Lepisosteus oculatus: one gene and its partners. The protein of the gene in region 1 interacts with the protein of each later gene in a biochemical or structural test. Links are inferred from orthologs where the notes say so. Each region holds a gene or a part of one and is shown in the gene's direction. Other genes may lie near its edges.

Evidence for each region.
Region 2: the proteins of sortilin (region 1) and bdnf form a complex in vitro, tested with the Homo sapiens proteins (2 studies listed by BioGRID and IntAct, with this or other methods). The link is inferred for Lepisosteus oculatus from reciprocal best matches to the Homo sapiens genes SORT1 and BDNF.
Region 3: the proteins of sortilin (region 1) and ngfb form a complex in vitro, tested with the Homo sapiens proteins (3 studies listed by BioGRID and IntAct, with this or other methods). The link is inferred for Lepisosteus oculatus from reciprocal best matches to the Homo sapiens genes SORT1 and NGF.

The regions. Positions count from the first base shown.
Region 1 is NC_090700.1:39,850,198-39,857,060, reverse strand, and holds the start of sortilin, read left to right. Parts: upstream 1-3,844; 5' UTR 3,845-4,088; coding exon 4,089-4,364; intron 4,365-6,863. Other genes in the region: psma5 (proteasome subunit alpha type-5), read left to right, coding at 502-588, 1,736-1,813.
Region 2 is NC_090716.1:3,157,264-3,164,475, reverse strand, and holds the start of bdnf (brain-derived neurotrophic factor), read left to right. Parts: upstream 1-4,204; 5' UTR 4,205-4,768; coding exon 4,769-4,882; intron 4,883-7,212. UniProt on the Homo sapiens protein: Important signaling molecule that activates signaling cascades downstream of NTRK2. During development, promotes the survival and differentiation of selected neuronal populations of the peripheral and central nervous systems.
Region 3 is NC_090700.1:33,083,038-33,090,762, forward strand, and holds the start of ngfb (nerve growth factor), read left to right. Parts: upstream 1-4,717; 5' UTR 4,718-4,877; intron 4,878-7,725. UniProt on the Homo sapiens protein: Nerve growth factor is important for the development and maintenance of the sympathetic and sensory nervous systems.

The DNA.
Region 1 (6,863 bases):
ATCTCCCCTGGTCTGGAGTCTGGCCTTTGCTGCCAGGGAATAGCTGTCTTCTGTCTGTGCAGCAGGGATGGTGTTGTAACAGCCCCCAGACCGCTGTCCTGCCCGGGATGAGTGTAGCTGTAACATCCAGGGAGCAGAGCTCAACCTTCAACAGCCCCGCAGCTGGGATTGATACCGCTCAACGAGACAGGCGGGCTCAGTCTCCTGGTACTGCCCCTCGTCAGTCTGCAGTCATGGGTGTCGCTGCGGCCTAGCATCCTGTCAGACTAGTGCGTTTACATCACATGCCTGTCATTAGAAACAGCATCTGACTCTTGCCTTGTTGTGCAGTGAATGGATAATCTCATTTTGATATTCAAGAACAAAATTTCCTTGTTTTTTCTTTTTTCTCCCCTTCCAAGAGATTGTGGAACAAGCAGAAGCAATGCAAATATCAGGATGAAAACCTGAAGCCCACAAATGTTGATCTTTTTGTGTTGTTTCATAAATTGTTTTTTCCAGTCGATGACTTTAAAAGATGCCATCAAATCTTCGCTCACCATCCTGAAGCAGGTCATGGAGGAAAAACTGAATGCAACAAACATAGAGGTAGATGATCTTCATTTCCTGATGATTTTTTACCCCCTGTATATCACTCTTTCCCTTCCAACATCCCTGAGATCCATCTTGTTCACAGATCCAGCCAGTTGCAGACAAATGCATTGACTTCCACCCAGTAGTCTCACAAGCCCAACAGCAGCTCAGGGGAGACCTGTAATATTTCTGGCCTCCTGTCCTGAAAGCCCTGTGCCCTGATGGTGGTTTTCTTTACCTTGTTGATCCCCGCCCGGTATGAAGTGCTGGGTTTATAAGATTGTAGTTACTGTCAGGCAGGTTGCAGTTTTTTTATCGGGGTTCACGTTTTTCAGGCCTTTAGTGGAATTGAATCCATGGTGTTTTAACATCTTCAGGTTTAACTTTGCATTTAATGCAGTCTAAAGTGATTTCAGCTGTTAGTTACATATTTGTTACATCAAGGACAGAGTACTGGGGAAGTGAGTCTAAGTTTTTTTATATTTGCTTCTGCTGAAGCAGCTTATTTAAGACCTTTAATTACTTCTTAATAGAGCCCACTGCTTTTGAAAGCCAGACACGTCTTCCCCGTTTATCTGCTTTGGAAGCTCAATGGAAATGAGAGGAAAGAAATGGAGGGACGCAGGACTCCACCTGCTAGGTTGAACGTGTTGTGCAGCCCAGTGTGTGCAGCTTTGTGATCTGTGACTCTGTATGAGTGATGGAGTACTAAACCTACCTCTCAGGATTGTGCGATATGTGAGAATCCTCCCCTGCTGCTGCTATTACCAAGTAGTGTTGATTATAACAAGTACTGTTGTGTTTGGCAGGCAGTTTCATCCCAGGAGACCTCCAGTAGAGCAAGCTACCTAATAAAATAGAATACAGCTTACAAAAATAGCGCTTGTTGTAGGAGGCAAAAAGCTATGAAATAGCGCGTACACAGTGTGTCCTAAAGAACATGCCTCACATTGCAGTTACTATTAGCAAAACTGACAGAAGCTCCAAACACACTTGGGACTGTCCAGAATGGATAATTACAGTTTTCTAAGAAATGCCTTCTGCGTGCACAAATGCATTTTGTCCCAGAGGGATATCAGGACTTTGGCCACATCATGTGGGCTTGTGGTTGGGGCTGTTTGGGCAGTCATCATAAGTATTAATATTGTTTTCTCTCCGACAGCTTGCTACAGTAGAGCCTGGGAAGACATTTCACATGTACACGAAAGAAGAGCTAGAAGAGGTTATTAAAGATATTTAAAGTCCAGCAAGCTGGCACTGACGGATTTTTAGTAGATCTGACTCCCACAACAGTCGAGCACACCAGACGTTCCTGGATTGCGGTGCAAGAGATGGTAACCAATGCCTTTTTAGCTCTCCTGAGACGCACACACAGTAATGCGGTTTCAGTGAATAAGCAGGAATCTACTGTTTGTATTTTTTTTTCTTCCTTTCTTTTGTGATTTTTACAAGTCTGTACATAATACAGCACAACATGAGAACTGGGACTAAAGGCAAAAAAAGGGGTGATGTGTAATTTTTGTTACAACTTGACTCAATAAATCTGTTGTATTCCAAAACATATCGCATACGTGACTCCTGGTCTGTTCCTTTGCAAGTCAGAGCACAATGTGTGAACACATTGGGTGATCTGGCAACTGTGTTGTCTTTGCATATCTGGACCTATCTGATAGACCTGCAAGAATTAAATATTTTATAATTCAGTCAGTATAATTGCCCAATTGTTTGATTCTGATAGATTGAAATGGACCTTTGTCCTTACCTTATTTATTTGATGTGGCACATTAGGAAAATACTGTACTACTTTGAGCCACTAAAAAATGTCTTTAGTGTTGCGAATCATTTTGTTTGCTGCACAAGGCCACCTACAGAGGAGATTTACTACCTCTCGTTAGAAGTTCCTGGTAGGTTAGTTTTTCAGTCTTTCAGTTTTCTGCCAAAAGTGCAACTGATGTGGACCAAAAGTTTGGCAGCACTACTGCTCATCCTGTCAAGAGTTTGGAAGGTCTCTGGGCCGCTGCCTGGTACAAACGTGGTACAAAATGTTCTGGGCTGAAAGGGCACACTGGGCGCTGGGTCCAAATGCATTGTTGCACAAAACCTCTACTAAAAAAATCCAGGTGGGAATTAAAGTGCTAGGAAAACGCAGTACAGTTAATCCGTCTTGTCCGTGTTCGTCCTGAGCTATGAAGTGAAGTTCTAAAGTGTATAACTTATTTTACTGCTGAACTGACCCGTCTGCAGTAGCGTTTACTTACCCGCCCGTGGACTGGCATGAAGCTGGCGCGGAGCGGAGCTGTAAGTGTTGAAACCCGCGCCCTGTGCGGCCACTATTGAGTAATTTAAGATATGCCGTTATTAAGTACCGTCGTTTTCTTCAGTTGCTTCGGCAGTCTCGATATTTTTCATGTCAGAGATTGACGCGACTGTGCAGAACAATAATGCATCATTATTTTAACAGTAATTCTGCAAGATCTGTCTGGCTGCTCGGTCACGTGACAGAAACCACAGCAGTAACGTACCACTAATTGCAATAAAGAGTTCCGAGGCGCTGCAGTTCAAGACCCATTCATAAAATGTACAAAGTTTAGGAAGTGTCTTAATTTTATTTTCCATACATCGGAGCAGTTTAACTTGGATGTCGTATGCTTTTACGACACATTTAGTCGCAACTCTGCAGATACGGTATACATCTAAATACTTTTTTAATCATTAAACCTCAGAGAATAAGTAGAAGCACTTGTTTGTGTCTGTTGTACTGTTATTGTGTGCTGGTCTCCGGTTTCAGAAACTCATCTAGTTAACACCCGTAGAGTAAGACTTGATGTTACCGCGGATGGGAAAAGCAAATTATATGTCTGAGCCACACTGCCTCTGACGCTGTCACAAATATCACGTTACTTAATCAAAATCACACACTTGCAATGTGATCTTTCGCAGGAGATGGGGGCATCGCATAGCCGCCAACCAACCTTGACTGCATTTTTAATTGTTGACAGTGAAGTTCGGGGATCACATTTCTTTCCTGATCCCTGTCGAGTGTAGCCAATGAGGAAAAAAAAGAATCCTCCGGCCGAGAGACGTCAACCAATGGGAACCACGTTGATAGGCAGATTTGCGGAGTGGGCGTGGCCTCTCAGCTGTTCAACGAGGTGGGGTTGAATCCACCAATGAGATAAATCACTCCCAAGTCCAAGGGCTGTACGTGTGATCGATAGCTGAATAGAGCCAATCAGCACCGGCGTTCAGCGTCAAAGCAGCCAATCGCTTAGCCGTCTGGGGGAGGTAGGTGGTGTGAAGTGAATCTCCACCCTCAAAGCCGCTTAACTCCTATGTGCTGTTTGGTGCTTGGATATCGCTTGCTGCTGGCTTAGTGGGTTGTGCGTGTTTACATTACCTTTGTGGTTTGAGAGGGACCGCTCGCAAAAACCGGCCTGGCATTTATGGACGTTTTTTTTAAATAAAAAAACATATATATTTTCAAGCGCTTTCGCTCCCTCGCCTTCCCGTGAACGATGCGCCTCCCGATCCCCCGCAGCCGCTGCGTGGTGTTCTTCCTGTTCCCACTGGCGCTGTGCGTGGATTTCCGCGACAGAGCCAGCCGCGGGGTGCAGTCCACGTTCGTCAAGACCGGGAGGCTGGAGGATGTCTTCAGCTTCCCCTGGCCGTCGAGCGCGGAGTCGCCCGGGGGCTCCGGGCAGCACAGGGTGAGCCGGAGGAGCGCGGACAAAGCCGACAGCTGCAGAGCCCTCCAAGGATACGAGTCCAGGCTGGGCAGCAACACGCACACCGTGAGTAGACGACGGCTCCGGCTGCTTGGCTGTCCCCTACCCCCGTGCCCGCTGGAGGCTCGGGGGGGGCATGCTTGGATTCACAGCCGACGCGCACGGTGTTGGTCCGGGGTCCCAGCTGCCTGGCCGGGCTCCGAGCTCGGCGCCGGGGAACGGAACGTCCTGGTACTCTCCCTTCCAGAGAAAACACTTCTCCGTCCTGTTGTTCTTGTACTCCAGCCTCCTCAGGCATTTCCTTAAACCGGGGACTAGTAGGGTTAGCCCAGCCAAGCGCCTCTCCGCAGCCTGCCCTCTGTTTTGTTTCTCGCCGAGGTGCGTGTCATCTCAGTTCTCTCGTTTCACGGCGCGACACTAGTAGTCGTAGCAACGTCAATATTCTGCTCTCTGGAGTGCAATGCAAAACAAAACCAAAAAAAAAAAGAGCGGTGTTATAACACTAAAATGATCCCGTCTCGCCCAGTGGGTAGCTCCATCCTTGATTGTGTTTGCAGGTTCGCCCCCCGGCGGTTCAAGGTGCGCTTAACCTTAAATTCAAGCGCTTGCAAATGAGGTATTCAGTTCCCGCTGTGCAATTCGCACTTTAAATTCCAGATGCTTTATGTTTCCGTTTCTTTTTTGTTGTTGTTGTTGTTCATGCATATGGAGATGCGGTGTCGCTTGTTTTTGAAGTGTCCCGACACCATCAACGGATAGGGGAACAGAAGTGATACGGTAACCTTTAATAATTTATCTAGAGGCGGTGTTCTCGCAGGTGGCCCCGTATCCACAGACGAGCCAGGTCTCGGTGTGCCGCCGGGGTTGTCAGTGTGTCAGTACCGTGGTCTGGCTCGGCTCCGTCCCGAATCTTGAACTGTGTCGGGGGGAGTCGGCGATCGCCGGATGTTCAGTCCCGGGGGTGGAGTGGGAGAGACGGATGTTAACTGGGAAGGACGCAGCGGGCACGGGAGATTTAAGGGGCCAAGTGTAATTGACACGCCGCGCCACTCGCCGAGAGGTAAAACTCTTGGCCCGCCCGTGTGTGGCAGTGACCGGCTCTGCTGCCTGTGAGGGCAGGGCAGGGAGAAAGCTATAGCCCGGCTTGTTTGCCCCCACACCTCGCTGTGAAAGTGTGTGTGTGGCTATAGGCGCTGCTGTATTCGAGTGGGATATTAATGGAAACGTTTTAGGAGCGGAAGCGCTGTCGACCACAGCACAGTACGTCTTTATAAATGTGTAATATATGCAAAACGTTCGCTATTCCCACGACACTCTATTTCACAATTGCAGCACCGACCTGAGTTGCTTCGGTTTGCAGTAATTGTTATTCTTAATGGGCTTTAAGTTTCGAGGGTCCTTACTGACACTGATGTGTTGTGATGCATTGAAACGGAGTCCTGCCCTGCTGGAAAATGTTGGGGATCCCTGCGCTATACCGAGAAGCCCTGCCGCTCTCTGGTCAGTAAATAGGACAGCACCTTCCTAACAGACAGGCCCCTGAGTGTCAGCCAGGATTATTACCTGACTTGCTGGTTTTGGTGACCAGGTGAGTGTACGTATGATTTCATACGTGTGACCTTGTGGTATAAACAGCAGCTGACTGCAAACCGGGGCTGAAGACAGGGTTTAGGTGTCTTTAAACCACAACCACCCACAAATCGGATCATACTGAACACCTCGCTCGAAGGTACAGCTGAACCCTGTCCAGAGGGGAGAGCTTTCCAGTTAAGAGCCCCGGGCTGTGACCACCACCCAGCGCCCTCTCCATTCCTCCGCTTCCTGCCTGGTGGGAACTGATCTGCTGAGGCACTCGTTAGAGGCTGACGAGAACTCGGGAGAAATCAAAATAACACTTTTGATGGCGTTCCTGCGGGGTCAGACTTTTGGCTTCGCTCACGGGAACAATCACAAGACCTAGACCTGACTATCCCACAAATTTCAGAGAAACGAAAGCTTGAGGATTAACAGCCTGCTTCTCGTGAACAAAGACGGCGCTTGAAGCAGCCTGTTCTCTTGAGCACGAGGGGCTGTTCATGGCCTGGGCGTGAGTGAGGTCCGAGCCCGGCGAGATTTCGGGGGCGTGTAGAAACGAGACCCCCAGCTTCGACTCCCCTGCGGCTTCCTTTGCTTCCCCGGCTCCTCCGGTGAGGTGGGCTGGTTCAGGGAGCAAGCCGGCGTGTTGCTTCGCCGTGTCCTCCCGGCACCAGCCCGCAGTGAGACGCTGGTCCTCGGCACTGGGCTGCGACAGGCTGTGCACTGTTGGACAGGGACAGGAATAGAACGGAGCCTGACAGTCAGGCGCTCGAGACACAGCAGTGCTCTGGGCTGCCTTTGGCTCCGAGTTCGCTCAGCCCTGGGTAATGGGGTTGGTGCTGGGCACTGTCACAGGCAAACAGCGGTGGAGCTTATAATCCTGTCCCGACGCTGTGACGTGTGTGGTCAGCCTAGTGATTCCATCTGATATCCCCTGGTCTTGACGCGCAGAGCCCAGTCAAGTCCGCTGCTCTTGTGCGCAGAAAGATG
Region 2 (7,212 bases), on another chromosome or scaffold:
GTGTTTCAATTAACTCGTTTCAGTGCAGTATAGATGTTTGCAAAAGAGGTGTCAGAATTTTCCGAAGATTTGAAACAAGTGTATTTTTTTAAACAAATACTAAATCATATCTGTTGTCAGGCGTTCATGGAATTGCTGGAATAAATGTACACTTGACGGATTTACGTACGTTGCCCAGAGCGAAGTAAACTGGTTGGAGATTCGTCGTCTCCCGAGTGAATAAGGCCAACAGCCTTAAGGGCTGATTCTGCGTCACGTCACTAGGAATTGTTGGTGTTTCAGGAGAAACCCCCTCATTTCTCTATTAATTAAATATAGCCTATTAGCTGACTCTGCGAGTGTAATTTTATCCCGGTACATGAATTTTTTAAAGAGACTGTGTAATTATCTGCCGCTTTTTTCACGTCCAAACGAATGAAACTGAATCTATTTAAATATTGAAGTTCTGCCCCCGATCAATCACTGAGATAAAGAGTGAAGCCGAGAGGCTCAAAACGTACTGTATATGCGCATTAATTTGTCAGACGTGTACTTAACACTCCCAGTGTAGCGAAGCCTTCCGGAAAAAAAAAAAACAACATAACGATTTTGCTTCTGGAGGACCCGAAGCGTTTTAAAACGATGATTCAGTTGTGGGTTTACACTAAACGACCGAAGGCGAAATCATTTTGGGACGTGTTTCGGGGGGGATGGAATTGTAGCAGTGACAGGTTTCTCCGGCTCTTTCCTGCCCCTTTAAGAATGCACCGGGAAAGAAAGCACGTTTTCTGTAAATATTTGCAATTCGTACACATGGGGCCGTTTCGTGACCAAGGTTAGAACGTTTACTTGTTAGGTGATCAAGAGGATTTCTGACCACTCGAAGCAAATCTTTGAAGTCGTTCGAAATCCCTTTTGTGCGCATGGTTATTGATTGGGCAGAGATGGCTCATTGGTCACTCCAACAGGTGAGGGCCGAGGCGTGCTTTTGAAAGCGCTGCCGCTCAGAGTGAGCTCAGGAGCACGGGGTCTGTGCCTCGTTGGGAGAAAGGGTATCTAGTCGTGTGGCCCTGACGTGAGACGTTCGCTACTGAAGTATTTACAAGACAAATGTGTACCTTCACAAGGTATGGTTTACCACGTAAACCTGGGCTGTGACGTAGGGGCAGGGTGCATTGCTGTGAGGCTTTCGGATGCCGGAACATTCTTTCGACTTCTCTGCTCCTGGCACACAATACACAACAGCCGCGAGGAAACTCCAGCTCGAATCCATCTATATATAAAAGCTCTAGTCGGCCCTGGAAGTTCGAGAACAATGAAGGTTAGACCTAGACCATGCATCCGAGGGTTAATTAGATGACATCTCTCTGGATCAGTACAGAACGGGAAGGGAAAGATTGCATTTGATCTTTTTTTTTTGTTATTGAGTTGTGACTAGAATCTAATTCACCAATCGACCTGGTAACCTGCTGAAACGCACTGGAATCTAATAGCGGTTTTTTTTTGGCTACTGTACGTCACGGTACTACCCGACCCAATTATGGTAATCGGACAACATTTAAATTGGGAATGTTTTATTATTATTCTGGCACCAGGAGAGAAGGCTCGTCTGCAAGGTTGTTTTCGCCCAACATGATGTTTTTTTTTTAAATACGTCGAGTTACAGGTATTTAAAGGTCTATATACTACAAATTCCTGAGTTTCTATACGGCCCGGCAGATACAAAATACATTTCCTGCAGATTATTGGCGAAACGCGTTCCTGACCCACGAGGGTTCTGGCACACTTCCCAAGTATTGTTTTTATAGCGCTGCAGTAGTGGATACTGGTTAATAGACAGATAAGCAGGCAAGGGTAACCCAGTGGTTAGCACTGCTGCCTAGCAACACCGCGGTCCTCTTGGTTCAATTCTGGAACCAGGGGACTGTCTGTGTGGAGTCTGCATGTTCTCCCTGTGTTCACGTGGGTTTTCTCCTGGTGCTGCAATGTCCCCTTTTAGTCCAAAAACATGCTGGTTGGTTAATCAGCTCTGGAGCTGTGGATTAAGTGGTAGAAAACAGGCGAATGGCTAAGCAGGCCAGCTAGAGGAAGAGAACTATGACTTCAGGTTAGTTAATTATAGGAATTGACATTCGGCGAGTGCTGCTACATATTTTTGTCCTTAAAAAAAATACATGAATTGAATAAATAGGATAGTGGTAGAAGATTATTTAATGTTACTTGTCGGACAGAAGGGCTTTTCACTTATAGTTAAATGCAGGCTTCCAAACGTCTCTCTCTCTTTTTTGCAAGTATTAATTGACCTTCGTAGAGTTTTTCATGCAAAGACTTGAATTCCTGCTTTACTGTGAAAGTCTGATTCCACATGAATCCACAGAAGAGCAGGGAGCCAAGGGAGCTATGAGCTCAGTCCCCCTCCACTTAGACCATAGTGTGTTTGTGTTAGTGGTGCCGTGTCTTTTGCCTGACACTCGCTGACCGCACTGGTCTCATGAGTCAAATATGAAAATCGTGTTGCACACAAAGGATATGAAACTGCGATGCCCCAAACAGCACATTAAAAATCTGTCTGCATGCATATGCACACTCATTGACAGCAAAAAATGGAGAAATAACGTACACCTGTTTTTTGAAAGCACAAAGCAAAACAACGTTTACCCAGTCTAAATCAACACTAGCCCTAATTTAAAAAACAAGTGGCAGTGTCATCATCTGTTGATTCTTTTATTAGTTTTACACATGACCTGCAGAGCTAGCCTTAGCAGCCAATAGGAAAATTGCACTCTAAGCATGATTAAAATCTCTGCATATTTTTGCATCTTTCATTACAGCACAGTAGGACGGTATCATAGTAACTTCCAACAGAAATAACAACACTTACCCAAGAATCAAGCGTATTGAAAGGTTTATGGAGTTTATTAAGGTTTAGTCACAATAAAGTTTCGGCTGAACCTGTGTGGGTGAGGGCTGACCTCCTGGCCAGAGAATGAGGAGGCTGGGACCCCCATACAGAGTGAGGGGTGACCCAGGGGCAGCTGCAGAGGGGGAGATGGGGGGGAAGAGGGAGGCAGGAGACCTTGTGTGTGAGAGAAGGAGAGAAGGGGGTCACATACAGTATTTATAGTGTTTTAGGAAAGGAAATGACATTAGGATTGATTACAAATTACTGACAGCTGAGGCTGATTGAACTTGGCTGTTGGAATACCTCCCGAACTTTCATTATAAACTCCATTAAATAACTGTCGAGAAAGGTTGTTTACATTATTTACTTTTATTGCAGAATCCACTCCTGACTGTTTAACGCAATTCAGTTTCTTGTAGCATTCAATAAACAAGCTATGATGAGTTTGAATGGAGTTGCCTCATTCAGTTTTCCTTGAAGAACGTTTTTCTTAGAAAGAACGTCATTCCATTAGAACTATGGTGCTTGTCCCTGATTTTTCCAGGAAACACCAAGTAGCCTAATTGTAGCACGCACGATCCGATTTTTGGACCTTCCAGAATTCTTAATTTTCTATCTGCAGGAATGTAGACATTTCCAGGAAGTCATCAAGTCTGGTTCTGGAAGTCACCTTTCCACAGATAACAAGAAAGCTTAGGGTCACTGAAAAAAAAAATCTTAGGAGTTTACTGTTGCTGATATTATCAAGACTGTCACTACAATGACTTTGGAAGTGATGAACAAAAATAAACTTAAGAGAGCCAAAAAAAAAATAAACAGAACAGTCCTTCTCTGTCCAGGAAGATTTGATTTGTTTTTTTGTACAATCTCAGTGAAGTGAGAAAGATTGTGATGGTTATGCAATGCAGAACTTCTTAGGAAAGTGCATTCTTTGGAAAGAAGTGACAATGAACATGCATTTGTGTGTTTTTTATACTGTAGTGTTTTCAAGGAAGGGTTTACATCTCAATGAGGTTAATGTAAGCCATGTCTGGATTGTCATATCAGTTAACTTCAAGATAACCTTTGGAAGAAAACTAAAACACAAACCAGTGGACAAGAACATTGAATTCTGAGAGAGGGAGGCACTATACACTAGGTAACCGGAGCAATAATTCACATTGTTGGATACGCTGTTAAAGTAGAAACAATTATTATTGTGCTGCAAATGGAAGTGGCACAGAGCAGGGATTCAATTGTGTTTGTTAAAAAAGTCATTGAAACATTTTGCCATATGCTTTATGTTAAGGAAGCAATCCTGTATTGGTCCAATAGGGCTTTACTGTAATCTCTTTTTTCGGGATTAAAAGGACACTATATATCCTTTAAGGAAACAGTGCAGCCCCCTTGAAAAGAAGAGATGATAGCGCAATTACCTTTCATCTGTTAATCTAGCAGTGCCAGTCTCTCTTCTAGTCCCTCTAGCAGGCATGAAGAGGACGGACCCCAGCCTATATGTAAAGCCCACAACTTGTCAGCAGGTCACATTCTGAAATGACAGTCAGATTCTGTTTTTCTTGCTCTGGCCCCTAATCCCTGCTCATCGCCTTCATGGGACTTGCAAGCAGGCACCAAGCAAGAGGAGAAAACCAGCGAAGTGAAGAGGTGACTTTCTGGCTCATCCTTCTGCACAGAGACGGAAATGAAGGAGCGTGTGGGAAAAGAGTACTTAGCACCAGAGCTGAATTTAGCTGAATGTCACCCCTGTAGAGTAATGAGAGAAACTAGACTCACCAGCAGAGAGCACAGCAATTTAAATAGGCAAATAAGATTATAATAGAGGACACCGAGACTGCCGGGTGTCTCCCAGTCTTTCTCCTTTCTGGACAGCGTAATGTTTAAAAATAAATGATGAAATGTGCCACCCCTGGAATGGAAGCTGAGCTACGCACCGCAAGTGGTAAAAAAAGGCAGAAGTTCTTTTGCAAGACCGAGCCGACGTGGAGATTTGAAGTGACCCAGGTAATATCTCAAGGCCTGTTAATGTGTGTGGGCTTGTTCTGCACTCTCCTCATTTCAAAAGGTGTCATTCCAGTGTTGCAGGAGCAGTTCATTATTGTCTCATTAAACGGTAATGGTTGTGTGTCTTCAATGATTGTCCTTCATTTCTTTCTCAGTGTAATTGTGCAATCATTAGCTCTGGGAGATAGAGTATAAATAAAGCAATGTTGGGCTTTTCGTTTTCTTTAAATGGGGATTAGCTTCACTGAAACAAATAGATTCCCCAAATATTCATGGTGTGTTAAATCTAATTTATGACCGTTTTTTGATACTGTAATTCTTTTTACAATCGCCAAATTGACCTTCTCTAGGTATAGAAAATTGTAAGTCAGCCGCCGTAATCAGACGTCCGAACCCCAGCTGCAGGTGAAATTGTATTTCACAAATTTAAGGAAAAGGTATTTGTATTGGGGTATTTTTTTTTCCCCCGAATTGGAATTATCACAGGCAGCCCCAGAGTACTGCAGTGGTTCATGGATGTGATTGTGGTTTAACTGGATCAGAGTTTTGAGGACAAGTCCTATTGATTTTCTTTACTGAAACAGGAAATAGCCAAATAAAAAAAGAGCGTCAGTCACCCGGCAAGAAGAAAGCTCAGAGGAGTAACTAGCAATTGGATTCTAATGAGTTACACGGCCTCCATTTCTGTGGAGTGTCTTGTGCGTGACATTTGCAGCCTTGTTAAACTGTCAGGCACAGCCTTTCTTTCCCTCTAATGCTGTGCCCTGTGATAGTCGTTAAGAAAAAGAAAAGAATTCATGTATTAAAAGATGTGCTTAAGTTACACTGGGACATATTTGACTTTCTGTGGGTTTTTATTTCAGTGAGGAAGTAGATGGACAACTTAAGTAGTTTGTTTTCTCTAGCAGCGGGTTAAAGATAGAGAACTCCTGGCCTGAAGTGCTGTAAAATGTCGCTCACGGAAACATGGTATAATGTAGTAAAGCACAGTGAATGGCTTGTATATAGAATATGTGTGGTTCCAGTTTAAAACATTGGAAGAGCAGGAAAAATCACTAGGGTGAATGTGTTAGTGGCCCGAATTTGATCAAGGAGGGATCTAGTCATGAAAACTGGCCTATAACCATATCCCCAGGTGTTGATGGGGAGTTGCTGAAGCCTGATGACTCTTGCATGTGGAGTTCTAAATGGACGTTCTGTAGAAGGTCAGACCCCAGTCTCACCCACCTCAGCTTCCCTGCATGCAAGGACCTCACCTCCAGAGTGCCCACTCTCCGATCTTCTCTCGCACCCCATCCTCACCCTTACAGCAGTCCCCTTGCGCTTTCCTTGCCAAAAAGAGGGGTCTGTCAGCTTTGTCCCTACAGTTCCGCCAATTAACCAGCTAATCCCTATCATGCCTCTATTGCGCATTAAATAAGGTTTGGTGAAACCGCTGAAACAGGACTGTGTCCTTGGAATTAAATAAAAAACACCTTGCAGAGAATCCAGGCTGGCTGGGTTGTAGAAGTTATTTTCTCTCTTTCTTTTTTAGGAGAATTTGCTGTTTATCCAAAACGTCAAGCTGAGCTCTTTAAGTGGAAAAGAAAATGTTGCACCAGAGCCCACTAGTTCAAAACGTTTCTGGGAATCTCATCTGCACTCTCCTCAGTTTGTGATTTAGGAATTTGGCTGTGTTTGGAAAGGATGAATTTACAGTCCTGTTCCCATAGGAACTTAGTGGGTAATTCATCAGACGGCTCTGCTTGTAATCTTATACTGTACATGTTACCATTCAAGTGTGCTTGCGGAGAGTAGCATTGTTTTTCTGCTGAGACTGAATCACTGTGCTCACCATGTCATTTAAAAACAGGTCTTAATACAAGAAAGCAAATCCTTTCGTGTAGCAGAATTCCACCGCTATCAAAATATAAATGTGTCTAATTGATGGGAATTGGAGCAAACAACTCCCAGAACTGCTTAAAAAGTAGCGGAAAACAGCTTGGTTTGCTAAGACCTGATGTTCTTGTGCAGACAACCTGTTTCAGTAAGTCTCCAGAATTATTTGCAAACCGTGAGCTGTGAAATGTTTCGAGTGTGAAGCCTTCTCTCGATTTGGCAGAGGTGGATGAGTAAGCTCTAGGTTTTAAGGGGATTCTTTTTAAAAAGAATGTACATGCTGTACTGGGTGCACCAAAAAAAAAAAGCACAGGCATGCCTTTTCATTTACTCATATCATTCATATGACAGGACAGAGTAAAAGAGGCAGCTTCAGAACTTCTTTAATTCATTGCCGTTCATTTGGCTTCATTTGAAAAAAATCCAGTCGCCACATCACAAATACAGAAGAA
Region 3 (7,725 bases), about 6.8 Mb from region 1:
ACCTATTTCTTATTCTACATGTGCTAAATTTCCAAACAGATAGCGTTACATAATAGAAAAATAGCAGAGGTGCATGCTTTGATTTTTCCTCTCAAAGATTCTTAGTCCTCCAGGAAACCGTTAATACATTTGACTCACATACTATTGTGACCTTAGGAGGTCTGCCAAATGGAAGCCAGATGCACTCTCAATGGGATACAGTAATGATAACTCCAGGTTCCAAAGGTGGGACTGAAATTTGAGACTGCCTAGGAAGTAGGGAGTGAACCAGTGCATCTGCTTTATCAGGGTCTTAAACGCTGTTATAACAATAAATCCAGGCGGTTGCAGCAACGCAAGAGATTAAACACAAACTCAACATCACGTGTATGAAGCACTTTGATGGATCTCAAAGGAGTTCACTAATCTACTCATGACCAAATGGGATGGAATGGCCAAATCATCTAAACAGTCTTAGCTTTTTTATGCAATTCAGTGCATACATGAATACTATGATTCCTTCACTAAACTCTGAATTTCCTTTAAAACTGTTTTTTGATTTCTGTTGTTAACAAGTTCAGCTGTACTATAATCTATATTTCACAAACAGCTCTTCACTTATAGTACAAGACCAATACTCATTTATATCAACTTTAAGTGGTACATAATTGTTGCTTTCAAGTAATTATTTCTGTGGAAAATTGTTTCCGTTTTGTTTTTTGAGAAGTGACTTATGAAACAAAGGACAGAGCCAGAATCTCAAAGTGATAAAAACTAATAAGAATGTAGGAATCAAAGAAAGAGAAAACCACCCACTATAAAGTATGCTCATTCAGAAGGGTTCCAATTCGAAATACAAAGATCGTGAAGGCAATGCATCACTGTATACTGTATGTGTACAGCTCTACAGTACTGTAAATAGAGTGTTGGGACAACATTAATATCCAACAAATACAGAAAGGGCTGCCAAACAAGATAATTTTTTTTCAGATGCTCATCGTAAAACACTGAAGTAGTTTTGGGGTTTTACTGCCGTACACTGTGCCTGCATAGGCAGGCTTCGAAAGTCCAAGAAACCTCATGAACATCTTCTACCCTGTGTGCGTGTTAAAGAGTCCATATTTAGAATTAGCCAAGCCTTTTTCTTGTGGTTCATTGACGCAGCTCCCCACCTTAAGACAAAATCCCATGCTTGTCCATAGCACTCTAAATATCTGTTTCTGGCCACGTAGCATCACTGATGACAAAACACCTCAAATATTCGGAATTCTTTACAAAACTTACTCTTTTTTTGGCCTTCCTTACTTCCAGCGCCTCTCAGACCAGGGCGACAGGTGAGAGTGCCCTTGGGGTTAGGTGTTGTCCTTCAGATTCTCAGCCAAGTGGCTTGTCAACAATGGCAAGTGACTGACGAGGCCACTCACACCCAAAAAGTGGGTTAAAAAAATGTTTTCACATTTGTTCACGAAAAAATTTGGGAAAAACCACAAATCTTGCAGAATAGGGATTTTTTTTGTGTGTGTTAAAATGGCACATTGGATTCTCCCATGTTGTGTAGAAGGAGAAAATGAATAGAAGTACAAAAAATATCAAACACAACTTTAAAAACCACTAATATCACAATAAATAATGAAAAGAAAAAAAAACTAAATCCCTTAGATCCCTTAGAAATGATTTGAGTGTTATAATTTATACTGTCATAAGAAAGGTTCTTTTACATCTTAACTATATGACAATGATACATCATAAGCTTTATAATATTAATGTATTTAAAACTGTGTTCCAAATTTCATATGTTTAATGCTTGTAAAATAAACAGCATGAAACACACAAGAGCTGATGACTAAAACAGTGGACAGTATGGGGGATGCATTTAGACAGGTGGACGAATGTATTAAGGCACATTTATGTTCACCTGTGTACATAATGTACAGAACACCTGGGACACTGCTGTCATTAAACATCCTCCAGTTTATATTGTTGTCCGTGCTTCTAGTAAAAACATTTGAAATAGATATATTAAAGATAAGCCCGATACAAGCCGGCCCTAACCTAAAAGATTAAAATAAAACGAAACCAAATATATTTATTGAACAGATTGAAAAGAACTGTTTCCATGTGAGGAAACATACCATTGTATCTTAGAAGAATGCAGATAGAAGCACTCAGCGGAAAACCTATTAGAGAGGGATATCACGCAGTGCAAACATTTAGCACCACTGCTTGCAAAGAAAACTTTCCAAAAGCTGAACAAACTGCAAATCTCATGTAAAGAATGGGAGGAGGAACAGTCAGGGAGTGGGAGGCAAATCCTCTATGTATTGAGAAGTCATTTTCAAAGCAAATATTTAATTGATGTGACAACAGAAATATTATCTGCCAGATGCAGACCCTTCCTTCTTAGTGAAAGTGCACTTAGTGAAAATGTTTATAGGGAGAGGTTTTTTTTTTATTTCTCCTATAAGTAATGCCCCTAATATATAATCAGATTATGTTGGATTTTATAATACAATTACTGTATGTAATACATATTTATTGTGTAATTTTAAAATAATAACAACAACAAAGAATTGGATACATGCACTGCTGAAGGCATTGAAAGTGATATCCCTTGGATCGGGCTGGTAAGCGTTCACAGTGGCAGGGTGTTTCCCCTGAGTGTGCTTGTTGTGTTACGTGAGACAAGTGTTGCTCTCTGAAAGGCAGGTGTGGTCAAGATGAGCACTGCAGCTCTCAGCATTTACTGCTCTACAGGTGGCTGTACTGCTAGTGCTGAATTTGATCAGCGGGGGCATGGTGCCATTCTTCAGCTCAGAAGAGTACCCTACTAATTTCTAACTTGTTTATGACACAAAAGCAAATGCTAAAGGCCTGTTCTGTGAAAAGATTACATTCATTAAGGTCAGAATGTGGAATCATTAAATGTTTACTTCTAGCCTTCAGAATAATAATAATAATAGCTTACACTTATATAGCACTTTTCTGGACACTCCACTCAAAGCGCTTTACAGGTAATGGGGACTCCCCTCCACCACCACCAATGTGCAGCATCCACCTGGATGATTCGACGGCAGCCATAGTGTGCCAGAACACTCACCACACACCAGCTATCAGTGGGGAGGAGAGCAGAGTAATGAAGCTAATTCATAGAGGGGGATTGTTAGGAAGCCATGATTGATAAAGGCCGATGGGAAATTTGGCCAGGACACCGGGGTTACACCCCTACTCTTTTCGAGAAACGCCCTGGGATTTTTAATGACCACAGAGTCAGGACCTCGGTTTTACGTCTCATCCGAAGGACGACGCCTGTTTACAGTATAGTGTCCCCGTCACTATACTGGGGCATTAGGACCCACATGAGCCGCAGGGTGAGCACCCCCTGCTGGCCCCACTAACACCTCTTCCAGCAGCAACCTTAGTTTTTCCCAGGAGGTCTCCCATCCAGGTACTGACCAGTCTCACACCTGCTGAGCTTCAGTGGGTTGCCAGATGTGAGTTGCAGGGTGATATAGCTGCTGGCACAGCAGAATAATTTATAATTTCAGAGAAAAACTCTAAAATCTGTGTAAAATTGCTGCCACCCCATCCCTCAACTTCAGTATGCATCCTGATAACATAAAAAAAAGCCAGGAACCTTCACTAGGTATACTTGAGAGAACTTCACTTTAACATTACTAGTGCAAAGTTTATGGGATTTCTTAGGAAACAAGGGGGAAATCTTTTATACATAAATATTAGTATAAGTCTTTAAGTCTATACTGTATATCACAACAAAATAAATCTGCCATATATATGTAAATTATTCAATGAAAGTACACTAGGAAAAGATACTTAGTCATTATGTGAAGCAATAAAAGTAATTTACTCTGCAAAGAACAGCAAATCTGAAATTAGTCTTGGGAGCACCTATGCAGTTTTAGAATTGTATGTTTCTCAGAAAGCTGCAGGAAAAAAAAGCTTAAAAGCCTTAAAAGGATTGCTACTAAAAGATTCTAATTAAATTCTCTAACTTAATAAGATCTGAAAAAAAATTTATCGCAAGAACGGAAATTGCAGACAAATATTTCCTTGGCAAACAGAAGGATAGGAAATGCTTATAACCTTTCTTCTACCTAGTATAAAAATATAACCTTTAGTGGACCAGTGATACTGTAAATGCTTCGGCATTTAAAAATGTTGAGTTTTCAAATGCTGGTCACCATCCCTCAGTAGTGATTTAAAGACATTGTTTAGGTTAATACAGTATCCTTTCCTCCCTTGGGTTGATAATAATTTTCTCCAACCTGTGCTTCTCCTTCTGTGGAAACGTAAAAGATGTGACCTTACATACTGTATCACCCCGTTTAATGCATTAGTTTATATATCTGTGTACAGGATAGATTTGTTGTGATTTTTTTATCCTGGATATAGGCTGAAGATGGAAATTAGTGTTTCATTTGAAGTGACTCAAAGTGACCAGTGACTTATTGTTAGTTGTCTCACACTAAGGCATGACTTTTATAAGAAGTCTGCACTTGAATGAGCAATGCAAAAGAAGCAAACTTCTGACATTCAATAAAGACTCTGAATTTTGTTACATTAGCAAGAAGGAGAAAACAAGTGGCTCTCTTCCTTCACTTCCCTCTCTGTGATGTTTTGGAGACAGCTAGGCAGGCACTAGGACCCACAGGTTTTGTCTGCTAAGAGGAAAGATACTGGGAGCTTTCTGACTAAGTTTCAGTACAATCAATTTCTCAAAGAGTGTAGGAGTTAGGCTAGTGTAAATGGCAGAACCTGGCTTTTAAATCTAAAGAAGAGGAACTTGGAGTGACTTTTGGGAATAATCCTGTGGACTTGTGTGCAAGGTGGAATTAAGCTTTTGTGGACTTTACACTTGGCCAGGGAAAGAACAGTCTGAGGTAGGAAACTTTTTTTTCTGCTGTTTTCTCATTCTTCTGTCGCGTGCTTAGAAGTCTGGTGAAAGAGACAGTTGTGTTGATACTGTACCTGTCGGAAAGGAAAGTATAGATTATGTCATCACAGAACGTCTGTAGCTGTACTGTAGTACTGTAATTACATAAAAAGCAAGGCATATGAAGTAAAGCAAATAATATTTTTTTTTTGCAGTCCACTTAAAAACAAAAGTTCAGCAGCCCCTCCAGGGAATTATTTGTCTGTCAGTCATATTTAATGCCAAACCCCCCTAAAGACAGAAGTGAACATGTTCCTTTTCAGATGTTTATTTGTCCCAACTTGCCAGGTCCTAAATGAATAGTTGCAGTTTACAGCTGCCCAATTTCCTCTCTAAGAGCCACAGTACCTACCTGAGCTGCATGGACAAGTCTTCAGTGGGAAATAGCCACTCATTGATACCCTGTGGGATAGCCCCCCTGGTTTAAAGTCATCAGGTTACAGCAATCATCATTGACTTTTTTCATTCTTTCTTTTGAAGATAATATATACACACCTCATGTTACACAACTAGTAAAACAACTTAAATGTAAACCACAGTTAAATGATGGCTTTTTCAATGTTGCATGGACTTGTAAAACACTAAATCTATTACTATTATTATATATAATAATTTGGTGTGTGTTACTAAGAAATAATAAAAGTATTAGCTCGGACAGAAATAAGAAAGAATTTCACAAATGTACAGGCATAGAAAGCACTAGAAAGAAGCTAGATTGATTGCAACTTCAGGAAAAGAATCCATAAGTGAAACCAACTGTAACCTTAGTGAATTTAAAATAAACCAAATTCCTGCTGTACTGAAGATTTTCAAGGAATGAACTACAAAAACTCAAATGTTTATAAAAACTCAGATGTTAAAAAAGAAAACCTTCAGAAATAATCTATTTTATTGTACAGTCATTATTATAAACATGAAGCATTGTAGCATTGCTAGTAAATATACTTAAAGGAAAAAAGAGCAAGAATCAACAGCACTTGTTGCTTTCTTACTGCCTCTCAGTGTGTTTACTTTATACAGTATACACTTTGAATAGTACATACGGTATTACAGAGCATAAAAGCCTTTAATACTCCATTTGTATATACTGTATTACATATTATATACTCTTATACGAATCTAAATGAAGAAGGTACATTAAAGTAGAAATTAATTCAGTGTTCTTAAAAAAAAATGTTTTACAAATGGATTTAGAGAAAAGTTCTTTTTTTCTCAGGCTGCATTTAAACAACATACAGATAACTGTTTAATTCTTCAGTAATGTTATTCTTCAGTGAACAAGAAACACAGCAGTTTTCTTCCCCGTACATGTGCACACAGTTATTTGTGAGTGAGGTGTAATTTCCCTTTCAATTAAATACTTGTGACGCACACATTTACTCACTCCACAAACATTCCGTAAGTATTCATACAGTATAAAGCCACTTACCAGCATTAATGAGCTCTCTAAAAGCACAGAAAAAGTGTGGCAAAGGTACTTGCCCTTTTAATCTGTGTTTTGTTAAGCACCTTCTTATTTTTCTATGGCTTTTCTGTCTTCATTGATCAAAGGGCAGCCAAGGTGTTATTGAAGCTGATTTTTACTAATGACTTAACAGTTGACATAGGCTGCACACTCTTTGAAAAGATATGGTTGCAGAACACCTACTCTTCGATTGTTGGGATTGATCTTTGTTTTTGTACGTCTTTCCTCCACAAACCATTTTAGAGATAGGGTCAAAAGCCAAACCCTGTTGACAGATACCTCTGCTTGCCAGGGGAAAGGACTGGGGTCTTGGCTGCAGGCAGCTTAAATAAACGTTCCCCTTTTTTCTGCAGTCACAGCCTCAAGGCTTCCTCCGGCTGATCCCTGGATTAGCGTTTGAAAAGCATAAAGCACATAAAAGTTGCTAGTTGAGCATGGAGGTGTTGTAGTGTGAAAAAGAAAAAGGGTGAAAAACCTCAAACCGAGCTCAATGGACAAGTATTCAAGTCTTCTTTTCGTACAGTTGGAAAATAACTGTATAAACATCATACAGTTATGGCAGATGTACTAAATAACAGGACTGATTTGTTTTCTTTACAGAGCTATAATTCTGTCATACATTTAATGTAATGTATATCTAAATAAAAATAATTAGAACAAAATGTCTTTGCTTTACCACATTTTTCAAATAATTTACTTTACAGCAATTCCCTGTATTAATTTTAAATACATGCATCATGATTAGCCTTTTTTTTTAGGATGCATATGAGAGGTTTTTTTTTTACTTTCTCCCTGATTTAATTGTTATTGGCTTTAATTTTTTAGAAAATCAATTCAACTTTGTCCCAAAGATACCTAAGGTGTAATCTTCCAGTGTGTCCTGGACATTGGTCCCAGACTCCCATAATCATCTTGCTCTAAAATCCCACTAATCTTATTTTCCACTTGTGTCCCCAAGTCCTCTTGTTGGTGGCCTTGAAGGTGGTTCCCAAGTTGGCTTTTTGACTCTCAGGAATTTAAGTACATACAGTAAATCAACTCCTACCATGCTCTTCAGTCTAAAAAGATTCAGTTCCCTTTAGTCTGCCTTAGTAACTTCAGGCCAGGAGTAAGACTGAGTTCTACTCTTTGTGTTGCCGCTAGTGCAGCAATTTCTGTCTTTGGCTTAAGACCAAAATCAAAGACATTTTCCAAATGAAGAATAACTACAGGAACATATAATTTTATCATGGCTCCCCTTGATGTAAATTCTACACGTTTAATAATATATTCAAGCATTGTGTTGGCCCTGTTTAATTGCTCAATTTAATGTCAATTGAAATGCTTCATT